4 linked regions of the Caenorhabditis elegans genome follow. The protein of the gene in region 2 interacts with the protein of the main gene of each other region in a pairwise test. Each region holds a gene or a part of one and is shown on either strand. Other genes may lie near its edges.

Region 1 (6,979 bases), on a different chromosome or scaffold from region 2:
TTCAATGTTTTTTTGTTTTGCAAATTTAACCAACATTTTTTTTTGAATTTTAAATTAAAAAAAAAATTTTTTTTAATGTTAAAAATTTTTCAAAAAATTTTTTTATTCAGGAGCGCCTTCTTCATCGCCCATCCGCCCGTCCAGAACAAAATAATTATCAAAAATAATGTTTTTTTCCCGATCGCTTTTTTTTCAATTCTAGCCCACCCACCCACGCATTTTTTGCAATTTTTTAAATACTTCCTACCCGAACAACCGTGCCTTTATCTCTGAAAATCTCCTCACTTTATATGTTTTGATTTTTCTCGAAAAATTCTTTCAATTCAATTCTGACGTGGTGTCAGAGTGTCTCATTTCGGCTTGATCTACGTTGATCTACAAAAAAAAGTGCGGGGAAATGGAGGCAGAGTTCTCAACTCATTTTGCAACAAAAAAAATTCCCGCATTTTTTGTAGATCAAACCGTAATGGGACAGCCTCTGGCACCACGTGTATTCTATTCTATGATCTTTTGAGCTATTCACACCAATTTACACATACAATTTTCGAATTTTGCATCTGAACTCCCTTACCTCATTGAATATAAAAATTATTTAACTTTTTTTTTTGGAAAATTTTTGTTTTTTTTTTCGGTTTTTTATCCGAATTTCTACTATTTTGGGTTTTAAAAATTTTAGTTTAAAGGTACAGTCAAACTTTTTTTTTCTTCAAATTTGGGCGGCAATTGCCGTTCGGCAAATCGCGGAAATTGCCGGTTTGCCGGAAATTTTCAATTTCGGTAATTTGCCGATTCGCCGGAATAATTCAATTCCGGCAATTTGACTATTTGCCGGAAATTTTCATTTTCGGCAAATTGCCGATTTGCCGGAGATGCTCAATTCTGGCAGTTTGCCGATTTGCCGGAAATTTAAATTCTGGTAGTTTGCCTATTTGCCGGAAATTTTCAATTTCGGCAAATTGTTGATTTGCCGGAAATTTCAATTTTCGATAATTTGCCGATTTGCCGGAAATGTTCAATTCCGGCAATTTGACTATTTGCCGGAAATTTTTAATTTCGGCAATTTCTCGATTTGCCGGAAATTTCAATTTTCGATAATTTGCCGATTTGCCGGTAATTTTTCTTTGTCGGCAACTTCTCGATTTGCCGGAAATGTTCAATTTTGGCAATTTGCCGAAAATGTTCAATTCTGGCAATTTGCCGATTATGCCGGAATTTTCAATTTCTGCAGTTTGCCGATTTGCCGGAGATGCTCAATTCTGGCAATTTGCCGGAAATTTCAATTCCGGCAAATGGCCGGTTTGTCGACTTGCCGATTTGCCGGAAATTCATTTTCTTTATTTTCGGGCTAAATTCTTCGGTTTATTTTGTTAACTTTTTCTTCTGTTATTTATAAAAAAATTTAAAAAAAATTTCCGCCAAATTGCCGGAATTGACCCTTTCTGGCAAATCGGCAAATCGCCAGAATTGAAAATTTTCTGGCAAGTCGACAAATTGCCGGAATTAAAAATTTCCGGCAAATTGTGCTTTTTCACATTTTTGATTTTTCAAAAATTAAAAAAAATTTTTTAGTTTTTTTACAGTCATATTCGGTCATTAGAGTCTATTTTCTGCCAAAAAAAAAAAAACAGAAAAATTTTTTTAAAATAAATAAATAAAATTTTTTCGACTCTCCTCCACCTATTATAACTTAATCTCATTCAGAAATGGGAGAACCTTCACCTAGTCGGCGTCGATCAATCACCTCAGGAATACCATGCCCGTCACCAACGAAACAAGTCCTACCGCCACCGCCACCAGAAGAATTGCACAATATTCTACGAAAACGGCCACGGAGCAGCGCCATTCCGACGACGAGCCAGACTCATGTGAGAGCTCCACGTAAGGAGACGGATGTTGTCGATCGGATTTGGCACGATATTGACGAGGAGCAACGAGAAAAGCTGGCTCGGCGGAAGGAAGAAGCCGCCAAGAGAAAAGAGCAACAGCCGGCTCAACACATCAGGGACTATTTGCCATTGACTGCGACAAATTTGAGGAATTTCCGGAATGAAGACTCGACGATCAGTGATTTTATACATCGGCAGGGGATGGTTGACAAGCTGCTCGGCTACAAAATGCTGCTGGGAAAAATGGAGAACTGCGGGACGCTGGGCTACGAGAAAATGAGCGAAGACGAGGTTCAGCAGCTCTCCAGGGAATGGCTCAAAAACTTTTTCCCTTCAGAGCAAGCCCACGTCGGCCCACGTACCCCACCGAGCCCCGCCGTCGATTCTGATGGTGGTAGTTATCCGAAACGGCCTCGTCGAGGCCCGAAAACTCCTCCCGGATCTCCTGGGCCTTCGATGGATCAGGCGGCCGTGAATCGACGGGAGCTCATCGAGCAACTTGCGAGAAATTTTGGAATTAGTTCGTATAAAGTGGAGGAGACACTTGGCACTGGGTTGGACAAGGCGCTTGAGGATTGCTCGAAAAAGTTGAAGAATGAGCTGATGGAGACGTTTAAGGATCAGCTGTTGAGCCAGATTGATCGGAAAACTAAAATGTATGAGAGTTGGAATATCAATGAATTAGAGAATCCTATGTGAAAAAAATGTCAAAAATCGATAATTTCCATGAAAAATCGATAATTTCTATCAAAAATCGATAATTTTTATTTCTGAAAAACTCGATTTTTGATATAAATTATCGATTTTTGATTAAAATTATCGATTTTTGATAGAAAATATCAAAAATCGATAATTTCCATGAAAAATCGATAATTTCTATCAAAAATCGATAATTTTTATTTCTGAAAAACTCGATTTTTGATATAAATTATCGATTTTTGATTAAAATTATCGATTTTTGATAGAAAATATCAAAAATCGATAATTTCCATGAAAAATCGATAAATTTCATCAAAAATCGATAATTTGAATTTTAAAAATATCGATTTTTGGTATAAAATATCGATTTTTGATTAAAATTATCGATTTTTGATAGGAATTAACAAAAATCGATAATTTCTATCTTCACCGAAAAATCAATATTTTATCGATTTTTATAAATTTTTTGCAATAAAAAAAATCTATATTTTATCGATTTTTATAAATTTTTTGCAATAAAAAAATCAATATTTTATCGATTTTTATAAATTTTTTCATTAAAAATTAATATTTTATCCTTTTTTTCAACAAAAAACTAATAATTTATAAATAGATTTTTCCAGAATAAAAATCGATTTTTAATCATTTTTTCTTTAAAAAAATCAATATTTTACCGATTTTTAATCTTTTTTTCAGAAAAATCAATATTTTATCCTCTTTTTTGTTCAACAAAAAAACTAATAATTTATAAATAGATTTTTCCAGAATAAAAATCGATTTTTAATCATTTTTTCTTTAAAAAAAATCAATATTTTTCCGATTTTTAATCTTTTTTTCAGAAAAATCAATATTTTATCCTCTTTTTTGTTCAACAAAAAAAAAATAATTTTCAGATTTTTCGAGGAAAAAAATCGATTTTTCTGAATTGTTTTTTGCGATTTTTCAACAAAAAAAAACAATGTTTTCTAGATTTTTTAAACAAAAAATATCGATTTTTAACAATTTTTTCAATTTAATGAACATTAATCAACATTGGTAACAAAATCAATATTTTATCGATTAAAAAAATTGATTTTTTATCAATTTTTTAAGAAAAAAAATAAATGTGTTATCGATTTTTTTTTCAAAAAATTAACACCACTGTCGATTTTTCTGAATTTCTTTTTTGCAATTTTTCGGGATCCCAGGGAATCGAAAAATCGAAAAATTTGTTCGATGAAACCCTCATTTAAGATATTCTTTTTAAAAAGATATTAATTTTCAGTCGGGACGATTTATCGGATCAAATGGAGCTGGTCTCGGATTGCTCACTATCACCAGATTTGATAAAAAAGGAAGAACCAGACGTTGTGTATCATATGGCAGTACCACCACCACCTATACCTCCACCAATTCAGCCACCTCCTTATTCGTAAATTTTTTCCAGAAAAATTATTTTTTATTAAAAAAAAAGTTTTTTCAGTTACTACCCAGTAGCTCCAGCTGCTGCTCCACAAGTCTACCATTATGCTCCACCACCGCCACCACCGCCCCCGCATCCCCAGCAGGGGTTATATCAGCAGAATATGATGGCCTATGTAGGTGTTTTGTGGAAGCCTGGAGGCCCGGTTTTTGGAAAAAAATTGGTTTTTTTTTCAGAAAAAATTTAAAAAAAAACAAAACATTTTGATTTTTTTCCCCGAAAAAAAAAATTCAAAAAAAAGTTTCAAAACACAAACAAAAAATTCTGAAAAAAAAAAAGACGAAAAATTTAGATTTTTCCAGTAAAAATTTAAAAAACCCCCTAAAATTTTAGATTTAAAAAAAATTAAAAAACGAAAAATTTCGATTTTTTAAAAGAATAAAATCTAAAAACGAATAATTAAAAAATTTAAAAAAAAACGATTTTTTCAGTAAAAAAAATATAAAAATGACTAAAATCAAAAAACGGAAAATTAGAATTTTTCAGAGAAAAAAAACGGATTTTTTCAGTAAAAAGATAAAAAAAGTGATACATTTTTGATTTGATAGAAAAAAATATCGAAAAACAAATTTGTTTCATTTTTTCAGAAATTGTCAAAAAACGACAAATTTTTGGTTTTTTCATTTAAAACTATTCAAAAAAAGTAACATTTTTGATTTATTTTTAAAAAAATCGAAAAACAAATTTTTCATTTTTTTTCCAGAAAAATCAAAAAACCAATTTTTAGAAAAATAGATCAAAAAACAAAGGTTTTTTTTGGTTTTTTCAAAAAAAAATTTTTTTTTTAAATCAAAAAACGAAAAATTCGAATTTTCAGAGAAAAAACGGCATTTTTCAGTAAAGAGATAAAAAAGTGATACATTTTTGATTTATCTAAAAAAAAAATCGAAAAACGAAAATTTTCGATTTTTTCAGAAAAATATTAAAAAAACGGAATTTTTTTAGTGAAAAGCTTTTTTTTTCCGAAAAATCACTTTTTTTTGAGAAAAAATACCGGAAAACGGAAAATCGAAAAACTAAAAATTTCGATTTCTCAGCAAAAAAAAACTCGATTTTTTTTGAAAGATTCCCCAAAATTTTGGTCATTTTTCTTATTTTTAGACGTTATTTGTTTTGTTATAAAGTTATTTGTTTTCTTTCAATTCTGAGAATGCGTACTGCACAACATATTTGACGCGCAACATATTAAAATATCTCGTGGCGAAAACTACAGTAATCCCTTGAATGACTACTGTAGTGTCGATTTACGGGATCTCGATTTTCGAAAATTTTAATATTCTATCGACAAATAAATTGTATTAATTCTTTTTGAAAAACGAGCCCGTAAATCGACCTACAGTAGTCATTTAATGGGTTACTGTAGTTTTCGCTACGAGATATTTTGCGCGTCAAATATGTTGTGCAATACGCATTCTCAGAATTTAATAGTCCCGTTATAAAAATTTGAATTTTTTTTCGATTTTCTTCAATTTTTCGGTTTTCCGAAGTCAAAGTGTCTCATTTTGGTTTGATCTACCTAGATCTTCAAAAAATGCGGGAGAAGAGACGCAGACTTTTCAACTGATTTCGCATGGTTAAAAACGTGCTGACGTCACATTTTCATGGGAGAAAATTCCCGCATTTTTTGTAGATCAAACAGCAATGAGACAGCCTGACGCCACGTGTGATCCTTGATCTGATCCTTGAAATCCTGGGATTCATCAATCAATTTAAGTCTACTTTCTCTTTCAGCCCCCACCTATGCAACATTTCAATGCTCCACCGCCCCCAATGGCTCCGTATCAGCACCAGGCTCCTCCATCAATCGTCCTTCCACCGGTGAACGTTCCACCTCCACCGATTGGCGTCCGAATTGATACTCCAATTCCTACTGGCAAGACATTCCGATGAGTCGGATCCCCAAATAAGAAGAATCATTATTTCAGCAGTGCTGCCGATTCCAACGATGGTTCCACCACCTCCACTGCCACCACCACAAGCTCCATTCTCTGGAGATTGCTGGCGAGCACAGCCAGCGGCTCCGGTTCCGGCCTCCGTGCCAGTCAGTTCGGCACCACCACCATCAGTGGTTGTTAATGTACAAAGTACTCTATTCTCTGCTCTCGGGCTTCATCACAAGCCTCCACCTCCTCCTCCTCCACCTCCTCCTCCGACAACTTCTTCTACTACTACATCTCACATTCCACCACCACCTCCTCCTCCGCTTCCGTTCTCTTCGGCTCCGCCACCACCGCCACCGCTTCCGATGGTCGCTGCTGGTCCGTCTCCGCCGAGCTTTGTTCCTCCTCCTCCGCCTCCGAATCCGAATCAGAATCCGTCTATCGTTTTGTCACCATCGGCGGTAACCGGAGGCGGCGGCTACCGGCATCGTGTCAATCAGTTTCCGCCGCAGCAGCAGCAGTCGTTCTCGAACTTTTGAATCCTTTCACGTGGTGTCAGAATGTCTCATTTTGGCTTGATCTACGTTGATCTACAAAAAATGCGGGAGAAGAGACGCAGAGTTCTCCACAGAGCGGCTTTTACTACGTGGCCTAGAAAAATCGAAAACTCGGCCAATGATTTATCTGGGATTTTTGACGTGGGATGTTTTTGAAACTTGACGAGAATACTCTCGAAAGGGGGTTCTATAGTTCCACCGTGGCGATTTTTGAGAAAATGTTCCGTATCGATGTTATGAAGGTGGCCGAGTTTTCTTATTTTACGGCCACGTAGTAAAAACCGCTCTGTGTCTCAACTGATTTCGCATGGTTAAGAACGTGCTGACGTCACATATTTTTGGACGGAAAATTCCCGCATTTTTTGTAGATCAAACCATGATGGGACAGCCTCCGGCACCACGTGTCCTTTCTCATTTGCCTCTCTGTGAAAAATCTGTGAATCTTGAACATATTTGAAATATCGATTTTTTTCTCTTCATTTCCTTGATTTTCTA
Region 2 (5,037 bases):
AAACATTATTTAAAGTACGCTCTTTATCAGGGAAAACAAGGACGCAGGCAACAAAAACAGCAAACTAATTCCACTGATCCGCTTCAAATGGGGTAACTCAATGCTTCCACAAGCCGCCACAGAAGTTTCGGATACTTGGTTTGAAGCTCTCAGTATGATTCAATGTATGGCAATGTGGCTCACAAAGCATGCTGCGTCGATGGCTGGAAAGGATGAGGTACGAGAATCTGATGCAAAGGAATGTCTTCAGTGTTTGAGACAAGCAGGTGGAATGTTCCAATATGTGAAAGATGAATCATCACGACTTTCCGGTGCCAATGAAGTTGAAGGCTCAGATTTTGATCCGAAAGTTATGGAAACGTATATTTTGACTGCCACAGCAGAAGCACAAGAGGTCATTGTAGCTAGAGCTATTGAAATGAAACATGATGATGGATTAATCTCATCGCTTGCTGCTGTAACTGCATCGATATTCTCAAAAGCTGATCAATGCCTGAATAATTTGCCTGATGAGAGTTTTGCGAGATGGAGAAGATATCTGCAATTGAAGCATCATTTCTATTTGGCGTATGCTTTTGCCTTCCTCGGACAGAAACAACTATCAGAGGATAAATGTGGAGAAGCTGTGAGAGCTTGTAAGCAAGGAATTGCTGAGTATGGAGTTGCTAAAGAAATGGCAGCAATGTATGCAACTGCAACTGGTCCTGGAACTCGTATCAAGCCTGAGCAACACTTGTTCTTCAGAAGAATCGAGCCATTGCTCAATCGACATTTGGAAAAAGCGGAGCGAGAAAATGGATTCATCTATCATCAAAAAGTTCCAGATGAGATTCCTCAATTGGATGTAGAAGCAACATATGGATTGGCTAAACTTGATTCGTTTACCTATCCTCCACCAGCGGAATCATGGAATACGGCAGTTTATTCCGCTTTTGATTTGTCCAAAGCAAATATGCCAGATTTTTCAAAAATTAAAAAGGTAGGCGCGTCGATTTTTTAAAAACTAAATTAAACTAATTACATAACAAATATTTTGAGTTCTGGAAAAACGTGTTTCAATTTGAAACGCTCAATTTTTATTTCCGTTCTTGCCTTCTAAAGTAAAAATTGGATATAAATTCAAAAACAGCAAATTCAAAAATTGAGCGTTTACCAAAAATACAATTTTGACAATAAAATCCGTTCAAAAAAAGCGAAAACATGCAATTTCCGTTAGTTTGATCTAAAAAAAACAACAGATAATTTGAACAGTATACGGATTTATCAAATGTTAACACATTTACAAGGAAATTTTTTTTCATTTTTCATTTCCAAAAAATCTAGGAAACATTCGAATTTGTCATACTAAAACTCCTTTAAATTTCTTCCTTAAAACATTCGACTTAAAAAATGCATTTATTAAAAAGAATAAAGCATTTAAACTGTTGTAATCACTAATTTCAGAGCAAGTCAAAGCTTGATCCAGTTCACGAGGAGAAAATCTACCAAACAGAAAAGGATCCCAGCAATTCCAGTGGATGTGTGATTGCCTAATAATTCGAGTCTTTGTACATTACTGTTCTTCACTATTTTATTTTTAAACATTTCCATTTCCCCTTACAACCATGCCCATTTGTATGCAATGTTTCCAATTTTAGCTGCACGCGTTCTCATTGATGCTGGATGATATACATAAAAATGTACATGTTGTTGACACGATTGAAGACAGTGACCAAATATAACGGTCAGTTGAGCATGCGGCTGAATCAACCAACAGGTGTGCCAACATTCAAAGGGCGGTCCTTTGGGGCAGATCGGATATAGCTGGAGATTTTAGTTTCAGTCAGTAGCAATGCGATCCCGTCGGCTAGTCATCCTGTCAATTTTGTTATTTCTCATTGGAGTTGTCAGCGCTAGAACAGCGTCTGGAAGAGGATGTACTCATTCAATGCAATGTGGTAGAGGATTCTTCTGTCAAGAAGGCGCTTGTAGGAAAGATTCGTGTTCCAATGATTTACAATGTGACGAGGTATCGTTTTTTTTTAACTTCTAAGTATTAAAATGCGCGGAGATTCATTTAAACGTATTCTAGGGTGAAGAGTGTCGCCCTGGCAATGTTAACGGACGACAGAAATCCGGATGCTTCAAGTCACTTGTCCCGAAATCGGCATTGGGAGGAACATCGGAAGATTTTTGTCCAGGAGGAGGTGCACTTGTCCTCTCTCCTACTGGAACTCTGACAATCTGCGATTTGACTGAAGACTGCCCATCAACTCACATCTGTAATCCAGTGCATGGAGTTTGTTGTACAAGTAAGAAATCGTATTGATTATAAAATTCTCGTTGGAAAAAAAAGGGACCACGTTTTCAATAAAACGTAAATATTTCAGGACATGGTTATTCATTTTGAAAAATTAAATGAGGATCCTCATTATCAAATTAACCGGTAAAATTTACATTCTTCAGAACTACCAACCTGTCCAAAAACTAAGAAAACCATGGTTAACTTCATAACTGGCAAACCTATTATGTGCCAATTCAAACAAGGAAGAGTAATGCCATGCCCTGAGAATGGTTTCTGTGAGACTACAACTGGATTCTGCTGCGTCCCAGGTGTAGATGTTGAGCCCCCAGTCGTCGTTACCCGTGCACCAGCAATCATTGAAAATGAACGTCCGTGGCGAGGACAAGTGTGCTCTCCACAATCTGGATGTTCTGGTGGAGCAGCTTGTATCTGTGGAGCCCGTGGAAATTGTATGTGTGAGTGTGCCACAGACTTTGGATACACACTTGCTTCCGATGGAAAAACTTGTCAAAGAGTTAGAAGACGTCTGAAAGAAAAGTGTAAGACTGATATGGAATGCTCTGCTGCATTTTCAGAATGCTCTTCAGGAGGATGTAGATGTAAGAGAGGTTTCAAGAGAAATGGTGATGGAGGTTGTGAACCCCTTGGTGAGTTTTTTTCAGCACAAATGTTTTTATCAATTAGATATCAATCAAACTTCATTGAAACTAGTTCATCTCAGAAAATTGCAGAGTACCGATGTGTCAACAAAGCAGCTCCCCTAAAACGAGATGAAAAGCTTATCACATGCTCTCTCAAAAACTCTCTTCTTTCGAGTGTCTCCACCAGTTTCAGAAGCCTGAAAAAGTCAGAAAATGGAAGTGATATTAACGATGCCGAATTTGAACGTCTAATGAAAGGAATTCAAAATGGAACTCTTTTGGATTTTGGAAATGAAAGAGATGATTGTCCAGATGAGCATTATTGTGTTCCTGTGTTCGATGATGCAAGTAAACCCGGTTATTATAAGGGATTTTGTTGTCCGTCTCCATCCGAAATTCGCCCAACATGCCCTGTGGGAGAACCACATGAATCGTCATATCCTCCAGACTATGGATGTAACAAATGTCCCGTAGATTATTACTGTCATAGGGATTCTGTAGCCACCGAGAAATCTGTATGGTTTTCAAAATCTCAAACCCCTTTGAAAGAATATCTAAAATTTCAGATTTGCTGTCCAAAGCCTTGTGTTTCACTCGAAGACATCTACCACGAAGGCCAGTGCTTTTCAATGGCGTACTATGGAGACAGCTGTCACATTTCGTCGCAATGCGTCTACTCAAAGAGTCCCGACGCCGCCGAAGAGTACGCTGAAGTTGCAAAAATGGAATGTGCCAGAAGTATTTGTTCGTGTCCAGCAGGTTTCAGTTATGCTGACGGACAGTGCAAAAGAATTATGTGCTCAATTGGCCTAAGAGGAGAACCATCAGTAGACAAGTCAGGGCAATTAATTCGTTGTGAGAGATCCAGTGATTGTAGTATGGGTCATATGTGTGATCCAAATACCCATGTTTGCTGCAAGGGAACTAACAGTAAGTGACTTCCAAGGAAATTTTATTTTGAAAAATTGTTCAATGCATTCCTTCTTGAAATCAGTATATGAATATCTGTTTCAGTTATCACAAGATTAACTAGCTTTGCAAAAGTGCAAACAATAATTAGAGTTATTTTATAATTCTGCTGCCACAACACCCTTATCAAATTACAAACTATAATCATAGAAAGCAGAAAACTAATGACATATTTTTGGGATTTTTCTGTAAATCCATAAATTGTTCTACCAATGTCTAAATTTTTAGAGATCTTCATTTTTATTGAATTATTACTTCAGGATGTCCAAAGGATTATGTTGAGACCGGAGAGCAATGCACAGATGACAATTGTCGTGGAATAAACCAAATCTGTCACCGAACCAAAAATGGCAAAGCCAAAATCTGTTGCACTTATGATGATGTGACAATGTCTGCCATGCGGGATGCCCTGAATTCAACAACAATGAATCTGTAAACTACATTCGCTTTGTAAAATCCCTTCTCTATATTGTTCACCCCTCGTTTTCCAACTCTTCTTGTTTGTACATTTTGGACGTGCTTCCCTTTTCTTTTTCCTCTTTTCACCAGTAGCCACCAACACCACCACCTCTTTAATAAATCCTTACATGACTCTCTTCTCGTCGTGTGCCATCCTCCACATTTGCTTCTTGTATCCTGTTGCTCTTCCTCATCGTCGTCATAGCGACTGGAGAGGATTCTGGAGAGAGGAAGCTGAAAAGGAGAGCGGACACACTTGGAAAATACGGATGAATGAGTAATCAGGGATGAATAGTGGATGAATGGCCAAGGGGAAGGCCAAAATGTCCTCTGTCTTTATCATGAATTCTTCTGAAGAAACCTGAAAAGCAGTGCTTCTAATAAACGGACCAATTCGTGACATGACCCTTAAAAATATTTTTCTGATGTTGTCGGTGGTGACATCTTCTCGGAACCCCCTGTGGCCGAGAGTGAATAAATTAGAGAAGAAGAAGACGAAGATGGCTTGTTGGAAGACGGGACGAAAACGAAAAAAAAAGAAGCGGAGGAGAGGAGGGCTTTTCGAATTCTGGAGCTCTTTTTCGCCTTCTCAACTACACACTCGTCATTTAGTGGTGAGGAGATGGAAATAGGGGGAATGAAGTCATCGTTTTGGTGGTCGTCGAGATGGAAGAAGAAGGCCAT
Region 3 (3,462 bases), on a different chromosome or scaffold from region 2:
ATGAAAATTGCACGTTTTGAGATTTCAAAAATGATTACGATTTATTTTTCGAAATTCGAAATTTTATAACAAAACTTCAATATCAAATATAGCTTTTCAATCGCGACAAGACCTGATTCCGCTTCTTCAAACTATTTAGATGATCTTTTGTAAGGCTTATCACGTTGTTATTTAATACTTCCGATTGACTATTTGCATAACTTCTCACGAGGTGCAGTATCTTATCAGCTACAAGATTCAATCTTATGATAGAACAATAACAGGACAAATGTTCATTATCATTTACAACTTCAATAGGGCAAATAGAAATTCAATAATAAATAAATAAAATCAGAAAATTGACAGCTTGCTCTGAATTAGACACTTCTTCTGACTGAGATTCTGGTGATAAAAAGAGGCGGGATCCTAAGGTGCTCATCGACCCGCAGGAGAGAAACTAAGGTCGATTAGTGAGGAAATACATTTTAAAAGATAAATCAACTAATAAAGAGGAAAGATGAATTGATGATGTTTGGTGATTTGTTTGAGGATTGAGATTGGAGATCGCAATTATTAATGACACGCATCGGTTTGGAACGAATCCGTCACTTCTCCATCACAATTTCGGAGTTGGAGAACTGCAAACAGCCAATGTCCAAATCCTGCTCCTAATACCACCGCAGCAGCTGAAAAAATACACAGAATTATTGATTTAAAACTAGAAATTTGTACTTACTTAGATAAGTGTTGTAAGTCATCACAATGAGCATGAGCCAATAGGCGAGCACCAATTGAAAAATGTACAAGAGCATCTGAATGAGCCGTTGAGGAGAGAATGGCGAAGTTGCAGGGGTCCTCGCTACCGAAGCCGATATCAGGAACGGTTCAGATTGAGGCTTGTTGCTCTGTGAGTGGGTAACCGATTGATGGCAAGTGCCTCCAGAAGACCGCGTTGTCTGAAGTGCAAACTAGGTCGGATAAGATATTTTTTAATGAAACATAGAGAAATATAAAATTACTTACCTCCACGCATGATTTGTTGGCAAGAACCTGAGCTTGTGTTTGCGTCATTTGCAGAAATACACGGAACCACTTGACACCTTCATATGTGGCGCCCATAATGAAAATAGCAGCACACGATAAAAGCATACCTGAAGAGTTGTTAAAATTAACTAACAGTTAAGAAATAAACTTGAATTGAATAATGAAAATCTTACCGAAAAGTGAATCCGTCCTCCAAAAATCGAATAGAATAACTTCTTCAAATCCTCCATGGAACCACATTTTCATCATATGTCCCTCGTGTCCACCATGACCTGCGTGTGATCCATGAGACGAATGTTCATGATGTTCATTTTGATCTTTTTCATCGGGCACAGGAACCGCTTCTACTTCTTTTCCAGCGAGCTCATCGAGAAAGTTGTCTGCAGCTTGTGCGTAAGCACTCTGAAATGCTAAATGTTAGATTTTTGAAGCAACTATTAAAATTAAACCTTATTTTCTGCAGCAGCAACCACCAAAGCCACAGCCAACCATCCTAGGATGGCCAATTGTGTACCCATGATCTGAAAATATATGACGTAACATGAAAATCAATAAAAATTGCGTTTAATATGACTAGAAGTTATACAAGATAACAATTTCAACTGCAGCTTCAACATTTTGCGACCTTTTATACGCAACCTGTCATGAACATGCATTTTATCGAGATGGAAAGTTTGCAAACAAGAAAACTCCACAAAAAAAATTGTCTAAAAATTGCAGCACCAAATGCGCTCTACTGAACTGACAGCCGGTGATTTGGCTGCGTACCTTGGCTTATGGTTAAGAGAGTGATACTCAGCCAACGACCGCCCTTTTTCTCTTGAAATTAGCTTTCAGTTCTTTTTTATCGAATTTCAGTTAAGTTTTTGTACTATTTTATGCGAATTTTTATCCCAAGCAAGCCTCTTTACCTATATTTGACTATTCTTCACGAAAAAGTATGTAAAAATCCACTCTTTATTATTTTTTTCTTAATTAAATTTAAAAAGTTGTTTTAATTAATTCGTTTGCTTGCATACATTTATTAAATTTAAATTTTGCCTAATTTCTTAATTTTGCAGGTAATGGCGCAACTCATGAAACGCGGATTCTCCACGAGCGCTGCTCTCGCTAAGGCTCAGCTGGTGAAGACCCCGATTCAGGTTCATGGAGTCGAGGGACGTTACGCCGCCGCTCTTTACTCAGCCGGACACAAACAGAACAAGCTCGACCAGATTTCCACAGATCTGAACAATGTTCGCTCCGTGTACAAGGACAACAAGAAGTTCCAAGAGTTCGTCCTCGACCCAACTCTCAAGGCCAACAAGAAGAAGACCGCCATCGAGGCTATCTCAACTAAATTGGGGCTTACCAAAGAGACTGGAAACTTCCTTGGTATTTTGTTAACGTGTAATTACAAATTTAATTGTAACTTTCAGGACTTTTGGCTGAGAACGGACGTCTGAACAAGCTCGAGTCAGTTGTTTCTTCATTCGAATCCATCATGCGCGCTCACCGTGGAGAACTTTTCGTTCAGGTACTTTTATTATAACTGCCAAGAAAAACAATGTTTCTTTTGAAATTTGTTTTCGTAAAATTATAAAATATGAATAGCGAATGTTTTCAATACGTAGAAATGGAAATTTTCAAGTCTAAATTTTAATCCTGAAGATGCTCGTACGTACCGTTTTAAAAACTAAAAATCATTTTCAGGTCACCTCCGCCGAAGAATTGAGCTCATCAAACCAGAAGGCATTGTCTGATGCCCTTAGCAAGATCGGAAAGTCTGGACAAAAGCTCACGGTGACTTATGCCGTCAAGCCATCGATTCTTGGAGGACTTGTTGTCACTATCGGAGACAAGTACGTCGATCTGTCGATCGCTTCCCGTGTCAAGAAATACAAGGATGCCCTTGCCACCGCCATCTAAATTTTTCCCAAAAAATTTAGTTCCTCATCCCGATTTTCAATCTGTGCTTCAAACCAGTTCCCTGCCTCATCATACCCAATCATTGAAGATGGTGTTTTAAAGAGTTGTTTAGTAATCGGTTTTATGTATTGTCTTCATTTTCTAGTGGGTCATAACATCAGCAGTGTAATTGTTTGTTCCAGAATTTTAAGTTTCTTTATTGTACTCTCAACAAATAAATAAATAGATCTGTGAAAAATTTCAATTATATTGACCTCGTTCTGTCGGTTACCATTTACTTCTTAATAATGTTTTGAAAGAAAACAGAATAAAATTATAGAAATTTGAGAAACAGAAATGAGTGATGACTCGGATCTTGATGACGTTGCTCATCAGAAGCTTCTGCAATCAATTCACACACCTGGAACTGTAAAGAAAAATCGTCTGAAGAAAGCATCAAAAACAAAAACCGACGCAACTTCTCTTCTATCTCATCTTACAGTTTCAAGGTATTTGAAAAACAAATTTTTTTTTAAATTTAGGATTTTTGCA
Region 4 (6,471 bases), on a different chromosome or scaffold from region 2:
TGGTTCAGACATGAAAAGAGGAGGATAACTAATTATAGAATAAGAAAATGATGATACATTGACACCAACATATATGAAATGAGAAAAAAGTAAAAGAAAACACAAAATATTGATGAATTACCGAGTTTTCTTAGAGAATTCGAATTTTCAAAGAAATGTTGAATATAAATTAATGGGTACCTTTTCCTTATTTTAAATGAGGGGTTGGTGGCATTTTCTATGAAATATTTTACGTCAATCAACACTTGACAGATCAGTTGAAAAAATATTTGTAAATTCATTTTTCTTTTTGGAATCTGAATTGTAATTTTATTTTGAGGGGAAAAAAGGAAGGTTGCTCTTCTCGTCGTCATTATGATTTTCTCATATTCAAGCAGAAGCAGCAACAACAAGCACAGATTGGAACACAAGTTTTGAATAATATTATTCGTTGAAGAGAGAAGGAGCACATATTTATAGATGAGAGGTTCATATTGCAAGATTTGAAAAATAAACTTGATTCATCATATTTTTCTTTCAACTGTTTGCCAGAATAAAAACAAAAGATTATAAAGTTTTTATTCATCACACGTGGAAAATGGTAGGCAATTCAATAAAAGTGTAACAAAAAATTGGGGAATGCAACTAAATTCATCAGAAACTGAAGGCAAAAAAAAAGAGTATCTCGTATTTAATATCCATGACTGGTTTGGACTTTGGCTCTACATGTAAATAAATTCGGATATGTCAGGCTGAAGTATTTCGGCTCTCGCTAGAACCGCGTTGAACAGAGCATCGTTGGTCAGATCCAGGGATTTTCGGCATTCAGTTAAACTGAACGATTTGGATCGTGTTCCGCACTCTTTTTCGTCATTTCCGGGGCGACTAGCATCACGGACAAAAGCAATGAATGCAGCGGCAAGATTATCGAAATAGAGCATTATTTGAGTACAGAATCCAGAACGAACTGATTCTTCCATTGGAAGTAAATCCATTTGCTTTAGGAATGTATTCACTGATTCAAGAGTTCGGCAAGGTGACAGTTCTCTGGAATAATCAAAATTTTTTCTGGAGAATAAATTACCTAAATGTTTTATAAAAAATATAATGAATCTTCAATAATTTTCGAATTTCTATTGTAATGTTTTTCTGCTATAAAAATCAATAAATTATATTTAATTTCCTATGAAAATTATATTTATCGTTGGTGTAAATTAACTTTTTGATTTTTAAAATTTGTCATTTTTAGTTGCGCAACTAAAAACTAGTTGCAAATAATTGCTCTTTTTTAGGTTTTTTTCTAGGTTTTTTTTAACTTAAAAAACAGTTTTCACGAAATAGATCAAGTGAAAAAATCACTAAATGTTCAAATTCTCAAAATATATTTGATTGAATATTTTTATAAGTGATCGTTTTTATATAATCAACATACGAATGTTTTCTAGGAATTTGTTAAAAATTCAATTATTAACTATTACAGTACTTCCCAGATTTCGTTTTTTTGTCAACAATACGATACACGGTCTCGACACGACTATTTTTTGTTGAATGGAAAAAGTGTGAGCCTTGAAATAGTACTGTAAATTCAAACTTTTATTGCTGCGAAGTTTTCATAGATGTTTCATAGTTTTTCTATTTATCAAAAATGAGGTATTATTATTGTTATATTTGAGTTTTTTTAAATGTAAATAGAATTTTATCAAAAAATTTTAAAAATCTGATTTTGAAAATTCTGCAGTATTAAAAAGTTTCAAATTACAGTAAATTTTAAATCCGCGCACCTTGATCTTTTTTTTTCTTTTTCTCAAAAAAAAACAAACTTACATCTGTGGAATTTTTGTGTTCTTCGAAACCATCACGCCTGCATGTTCAAGAATCAACCGTACCCCTCGAGAATCATTTCGTGCTCGTAAAATTCGATGTTTTTGATATGAAGCTGACATACACACTGCTGACCGATCAATGTCGATGATACAAATAGGCCAAGGGCTTGATGTTCCGCTCATTATAACTGAAGGGAGTTCTGCCTGAAATAATGTTTTTTTAAAATAAAATAATTTGATGGTTTCACATACCCTTCGTACACCTTGTAATTTTAAATATGGATTATACTTGTGTCGGTAAGCTCTTAGACAACACCATTGATGTGCTTCAGGAACAAAAAATGCAAGAGTATAGAGGAGTCTGGCAACCAAAACATGATCCGATCCAATAATTACAGTATGACCCTGACTTTGCAAGCATCCGGAAATCGCTTTTGCGAGAAGTCGATTTTCGGAAATTGAAATTCCTCTATCCGTGAATAGTGTGTTCTTTATCTGAAAACGAATTACATTTTTTTGTGGTAGTTGAGTAAATCTTACCATTAAAGGTCGTTCCAGAGAAACAAGAGGAAATCTTTCGAGTGCAGAAAGAAGTGACAAGAGGCGAGAAAGTTCAGAAGTCACTCGAACCAGTACATCATCAGAATCTTCCTAAAATTTGATGCATTGTCGAAAGACTATAATTTACTATTCTAACCGAAAATAATGAGGCTTTCATTTTTGGAACAGAATCGCCAACCATTCTCTCAAACCATGAATGTCGATCCAAATACCATTCTTGTTTAAGATGTGACATAAGGAATGATATGGCATATGTAATAGTTGATCCTGATTTTGTTTGAACTGAGAAAATAAACGCCGCAACTAATAAGTGACGTGAGGGTGAAACAATCATCTTGTGTTGTAGAGGACATCGGGAATGTGGGGCACTGAAATCATAATAATTACTAAACTTTTTTTGTAGAATACTGCAATATTTGCGCCAAAAATACGGTAGTCGGTCTCGACACGAAAATTGTGTCAAAAGCGAAAAAAAGGTGTGCGCCTTTAAATATTTAAATTTTTTCTCACGATTTTTAAACGTTTCCCTTCTTATTGTTTCACTTAAGTTTTTCAATTAAAATGTATTTTTATAGAAAAATCTATGAAAAATTCGCAGCAGCATGAGTTATTACAGTACATTTTTAAAGGAGCATAAGTTTTCGTATTTAACAAAAATATAGTGTCGAGACCGAACACCGTATTTTTGTTGCTAAAATGGCAATATTTTGTGCCTGGTTAATAAGCTTACTTGCAAATAAGCTCAGCCAATACACATTTGGCAACAAAAGCTTCATCTGTTACATATGATTCTCCAAAATCAATCTGATCATCGAAGAAATCGAAAATATCTCTCGGTGGTGGAGTTTTTGTATGACCTCTTTCCTCTCGAAATTCAAAAACATTTGAATTGGGAGTCGATGTCATCATTCCAAATGCATCTTCATACTTTTTGATGTGATTCTTACAAGGAGGGCTTTGACACAAAGCAGATAAATCACTATGAGTTGACACACCAACTCCAGAATCAACACAAGATCGACGGAGTTCTGAAATTATAAACAACATTGAGATTATCAAAGAAATCTGAAACTCACCATCATCATTATTAATAGGCGACAGTCTGTCAAGTTCATAATGTTCGGTAAGATGTGCCACGCACGCAACGTTCGGAGCTGGCGTCGAGGTGGATGCAATTTTATCTCGAAGATACTCTGCGAGTTCTCTATCTTCTTCATTTGGATATTTACTTGCAAGCAGCTTCCCAAGATGGCCAGTATCATTTGGAGAGGGAGAAGCAAGTGTAAAGCTGGTTCCCAATCGTTCATCTTCCAAGAATTTACCTTCACAACAATGATCCAGTCCTTCATCTCTTAATGATTTTCCACTGCTTTCAGGACTTTCCATAATACGAGAATCATCCATTGTCAATGTTTTTGTACTTGTTGTAGCAGATTCAGTCATATATTCATCCAAATACTTGAGTGTTTTGTATTTATAGTCTCCAGCATTCATTAAATCGAAATCAGCAAATGAATCGACTAAATTGGCATCCAAACCATCGAGAATTGTTAATTCTGTCTGCAAAAATTAAAAATTTGATAGCTTTATCTGAATAAACTCACTTTTAATGGATCATCGATTTCTTCAAAAGACACCGATTGATTAGATCCTGAAGAATCCATTAAACTTTCAGCATCTGCAATTGATCCATCCTCTCCAGAAAGATTTACTGGTGAAATTGAAGTCGAAGGTGTCACATCCCAGACGAATTTCAGCTCCGGGCCAGTCATAAAGTCGAATTGCGACCAAACAATCTTCATTATTCCGCAGTTTTCACTCGTTTTGAGTGGCAGCAGTCTTCGTACAGCGTGATCTTTCTTTTGTTGCTGAAAAATTCATATTTCGAAACGTTCAATTATTTTATCTAATTATATATGTATAATCTACCTTGAATTTCAGTCTTTTAACAGCGGCAGAGTGCATTTTGGAAAATTTATAGTTTCTATTCTATTGGAAATGTTCATATTATTCGCCACAATATATAAATGATAAGATGCCAATGTGATAAGAACACAAAGGAAATGATACTCACGTCTTTAAGCGCATCGTATGTGGTAAAATATTCATCCGCTTCCATATGATAAATTTATACACAAAATTCTGCAATTTATGTCGTTTTCTTAGAGAAAGTGTAAATCGATTGTGAAATAGTAGCTTTTTGAAGGGAAAACTTGAAATAAATGAAGGGAAAGAACAAGGCAAACTGCTGTATTTACACAGGCAACAAACGAAAGAATTTTCCTGTAGGTTAACAACTGTCTCTACGTCTCCGTCTCCACGATCCTTACACTCTCATTAACTTAATGCGTTCACAATGGAAGAGCGATGGAAGGGAATAGATTGACTCATCAAAATGCGATTATTGATCGATGAATTGAACTTGTCAGCTGTTTTGTCGACCACGCGGCCGAAATTCAGATATTTCGGCCATTTCAGCTTCGATAGTTGTACAAAATGTCACGAGAATTTTTTTCGGCTTTCATCCGCGTTTGAGAAAATGATTATTGAAAGCGGTTTACAGTTTACAACTATTTATTCGATATATCAACATATTTGTGTCGGGTGATTATTTACAATTCGTGGGTTTTAGTGAGTACTGGAATCATGAAATGAGATGCGATCAAATGTTATCCATGTTAAAAGCCTTGAAATCGCCGTTGCGAATGCGGTTGAGACGAGTTGGGTTAATTGCAAAACGGCATCTTTTATCGATTTTCTTACTGATGACATCCCTGAAATGTTTAGTTACATAGCATATTTAATAATGATCGCACTAACTAACCTCAATGCTGGTGACAATTGATCAACCATTACAGAAACGGCATCGAATGGTTGCATAAGCATGTCCAGACTAAGCCATCCACTCAAGGCACACTTGCTGTTGAGTCGCTTGGTGACACATGGGAGAGTACATTGCAGAGAGTTACAAAGTTCTCCAAGATGATCAGCAACAATAAATACATTACCTCCAACTGTAGCAGCGAATTTAATGTTAGAATCTTGAGCGAAAGCAGTTAGGTTTGAACGAGCATAGCATTCTTTGTCGCAGCCTGAAAACGATTTTTTGATGGTGGGCAATTTTTCAGAAAAAAAATTACCTGACATGATATCATCAACGACAGGGTTGAGACACGACTCCATTCGCTCAAACAGAACGTGCTTTGTGGCACACATATATTCAACACTGCTGCTGGCTTTTGCGAAGAGCTTGTTGTGATCACAGTACTGTTCTTTCTTCAGACAAGTGATAGCCTGTGCATGATGACCACAGACTTTGCGAGCTTGATGTACAACATTCTTCATGTTCCACAGAGACGTCGTAGAATTGATGAACGGGTCGATGCACTTTCGCATGCAATATGGAACTCCAAGAGCGCGGAAAATTGTGTCGACGTCGAGGGCTGAAGTGAAACTTTAATCTTAAGCACACAATAATCTAGTTTTTTACCTTGTTCTTCGTGTGGCACGACATCTTTGTCGTCGTGTACCGATTCGATGGCACCATTTACACACGAGAAGAACAGAAAGATGGCGGGAAGGAAGAAGGCGAGATGGAGATGGCGCATCTGGAATTATGTAGAAGTTTTTTTTCCGAAATGGGGGTTAGATATTAAGCAGTTTGAAAGTGGTCTAAAAGCTTTCGAAAACTTTTATAAGCTTTCAAGAAGGTCATATAAGGAAAAGAACAGCTAGGTAGAAATGAAGTGGGTAACTGATATAGCCGAAACTTTACATAATTTATAAAATGAAAATTTATCAAAACTGACAAATGAAAATAAAACAAAATCCGAATTCTTTATGCGACTTTTCTGATTTCAAAATTTAGCGCGTCAATAGAAAAGTTAGATCGGCGGGAAAAAACAATTTCCAAACTACGGTTTTGATGGAGGTCTCGAAGCGAATACCGTACCCGGCAAGATTTACGCAGGTGGTCCGAGCCATTCATTTTTTTCTTTTTCAAATGTGAATTGCTTTGTTGAGAACCTGCAGAAAATCTTCATGTTTGGACGAAGTATTGACTTTTAGAATGTTTTTGTTCAGTATTTTAACCCTCTTCCAATATTGC

What was found.
Region 1: the proteins of B0507.1 (region 2) and sydn-1 interact in a two-hybrid assay, tested with the Caenorhabditis elegans proteins (one large-scale study listed by BioGRID).
Region 3: the proteins of B0507.1 (region 2) and atp-3 interact in a two-hybrid assay, tested with the Caenorhabditis elegans proteins (one large-scale study listed by BioGRID).
Region 4: the proteins of B0507.1 (region 2) and alfa-1 interact in a two-hybrid assay, tested with the Caenorhabditis elegans proteins (one large-scale study listed by BioGRID).

What each region holds. Positions count from the first base shown.
Region 1 is NC_003279.8:2,376,576-2,383,554, reverse strand, and holds sydn-1 (Synaptic defective enhancer 1), read left to right. Parts: upstream 1-1,703; coding exon 1,704-2,542; intron 2,543-3,849; coding exon 3,850-3,996; intron 3,997-4,047; coding exon 4,048-4,162; intron 4,163-5,778; coding exon 5,779-5,920; intron 5,921-5,972; coding exon 5,973-6,466; downstream 6,467-6,979. UniProt on the Caenorhabditis elegans protein: Acts as a negative regulator of nuclear pre-mRNA 3'-end processing (mRNA polyadenylation). Plays a role in tissue-specific expression of protein isoforms by regulating differential processing of pre-mRNA 3'-end (alternative polyadenylation).
Region 2 is NC_003283.11:8,774,829-8,779,865, forward strand, and holds B0507.1 (EB domain-containing protein), read left to right. Parts: upstream 1-1,741; 5' UTR 1,742-1,756; exon of another isoform or gene 1,757-1,802; intron 1,803-1,816; 5' UTR 1,817-1,831; coding exon 1,832-2,008; intron 2,009-2,071; coding exon 2,072-2,291; intron 2,292-2,445; coding exon 2,446-2,931; intron 2,932-3,015; coding exon 3,016-3,440; intron 3,441-3,491; coding exon 3,492-3,855; intron 3,856-4,154; coding exon 4,155-4,330; 3' UTR 4,331-4,490; downstream 4,491-5,037. Other genes in the region: B0507.2 (BRO1 domain-containing protein BROX homolog), read left to right, coding at 31-979, 1,444-1,533.
Region 3 is NC_003279.8:5,428,246-5,431,707, reverse strand, and holds atp-3 (Oligomycin sensitivity conferral protein), read left to right. Parts: upstream 1-1,888; 5' UTR 1,889-1,901; coding exon 1,902-1,961; intron 1,962-2,084; coding exon 2,085-2,397; intron 2,398-2,441; coding exon 2,442-2,539; intron 2,540-2,715; coding exon 2,716-2,931; downstream 2,932-3,462. Other genes in the region: F27C1.2 (Copper transport protein), read right to left, coding at 553-665, 716-947, 1,003-1,130, 1,197-1,425, 1,473-1,541; utp-14 (Small-subunit processome), read left to right, coding at 3,268-3,419.
Region 4 is NC_003280.10:7,657,784-7,664,254, forward strand, and holds alfa-1 (ALS/FTD Associated gene homolog), read right to left. Parts: upstream 4,506-6,471; 5' UTR 4,483-4,505; coding exon 4,438-4,482; exon of another isoform or gene 4,329-4,437; coding exon of another isoform or gene 4,293-4,328; intron 4,232-4,292; coding exon 3,968-4,231; intron 3,924-3,967; coding exon 3,440-3,923; intron 3,392-3,439; coding exon 3,094-3,391; intron 2,732-3,093; coding exon 2,500-2,731; intron 2,454-2,499; coding exon 2,343-2,453; intron 2,298-2,342; coding exon 2,055-2,297; intron 2,007-2,054; coding exon 1,804-2,006; intron 1,027-1,803; coding exon 702-1,026; 3' UTR 545-701; downstream 1-544. Other genes in the region: F18A1.7 (Chondroitin proteoglycan 4 domain-containing protein), read right to left, coding at 5,026-5,137, 5,188-5,455, 5,504-5,806, 5,854-5,971.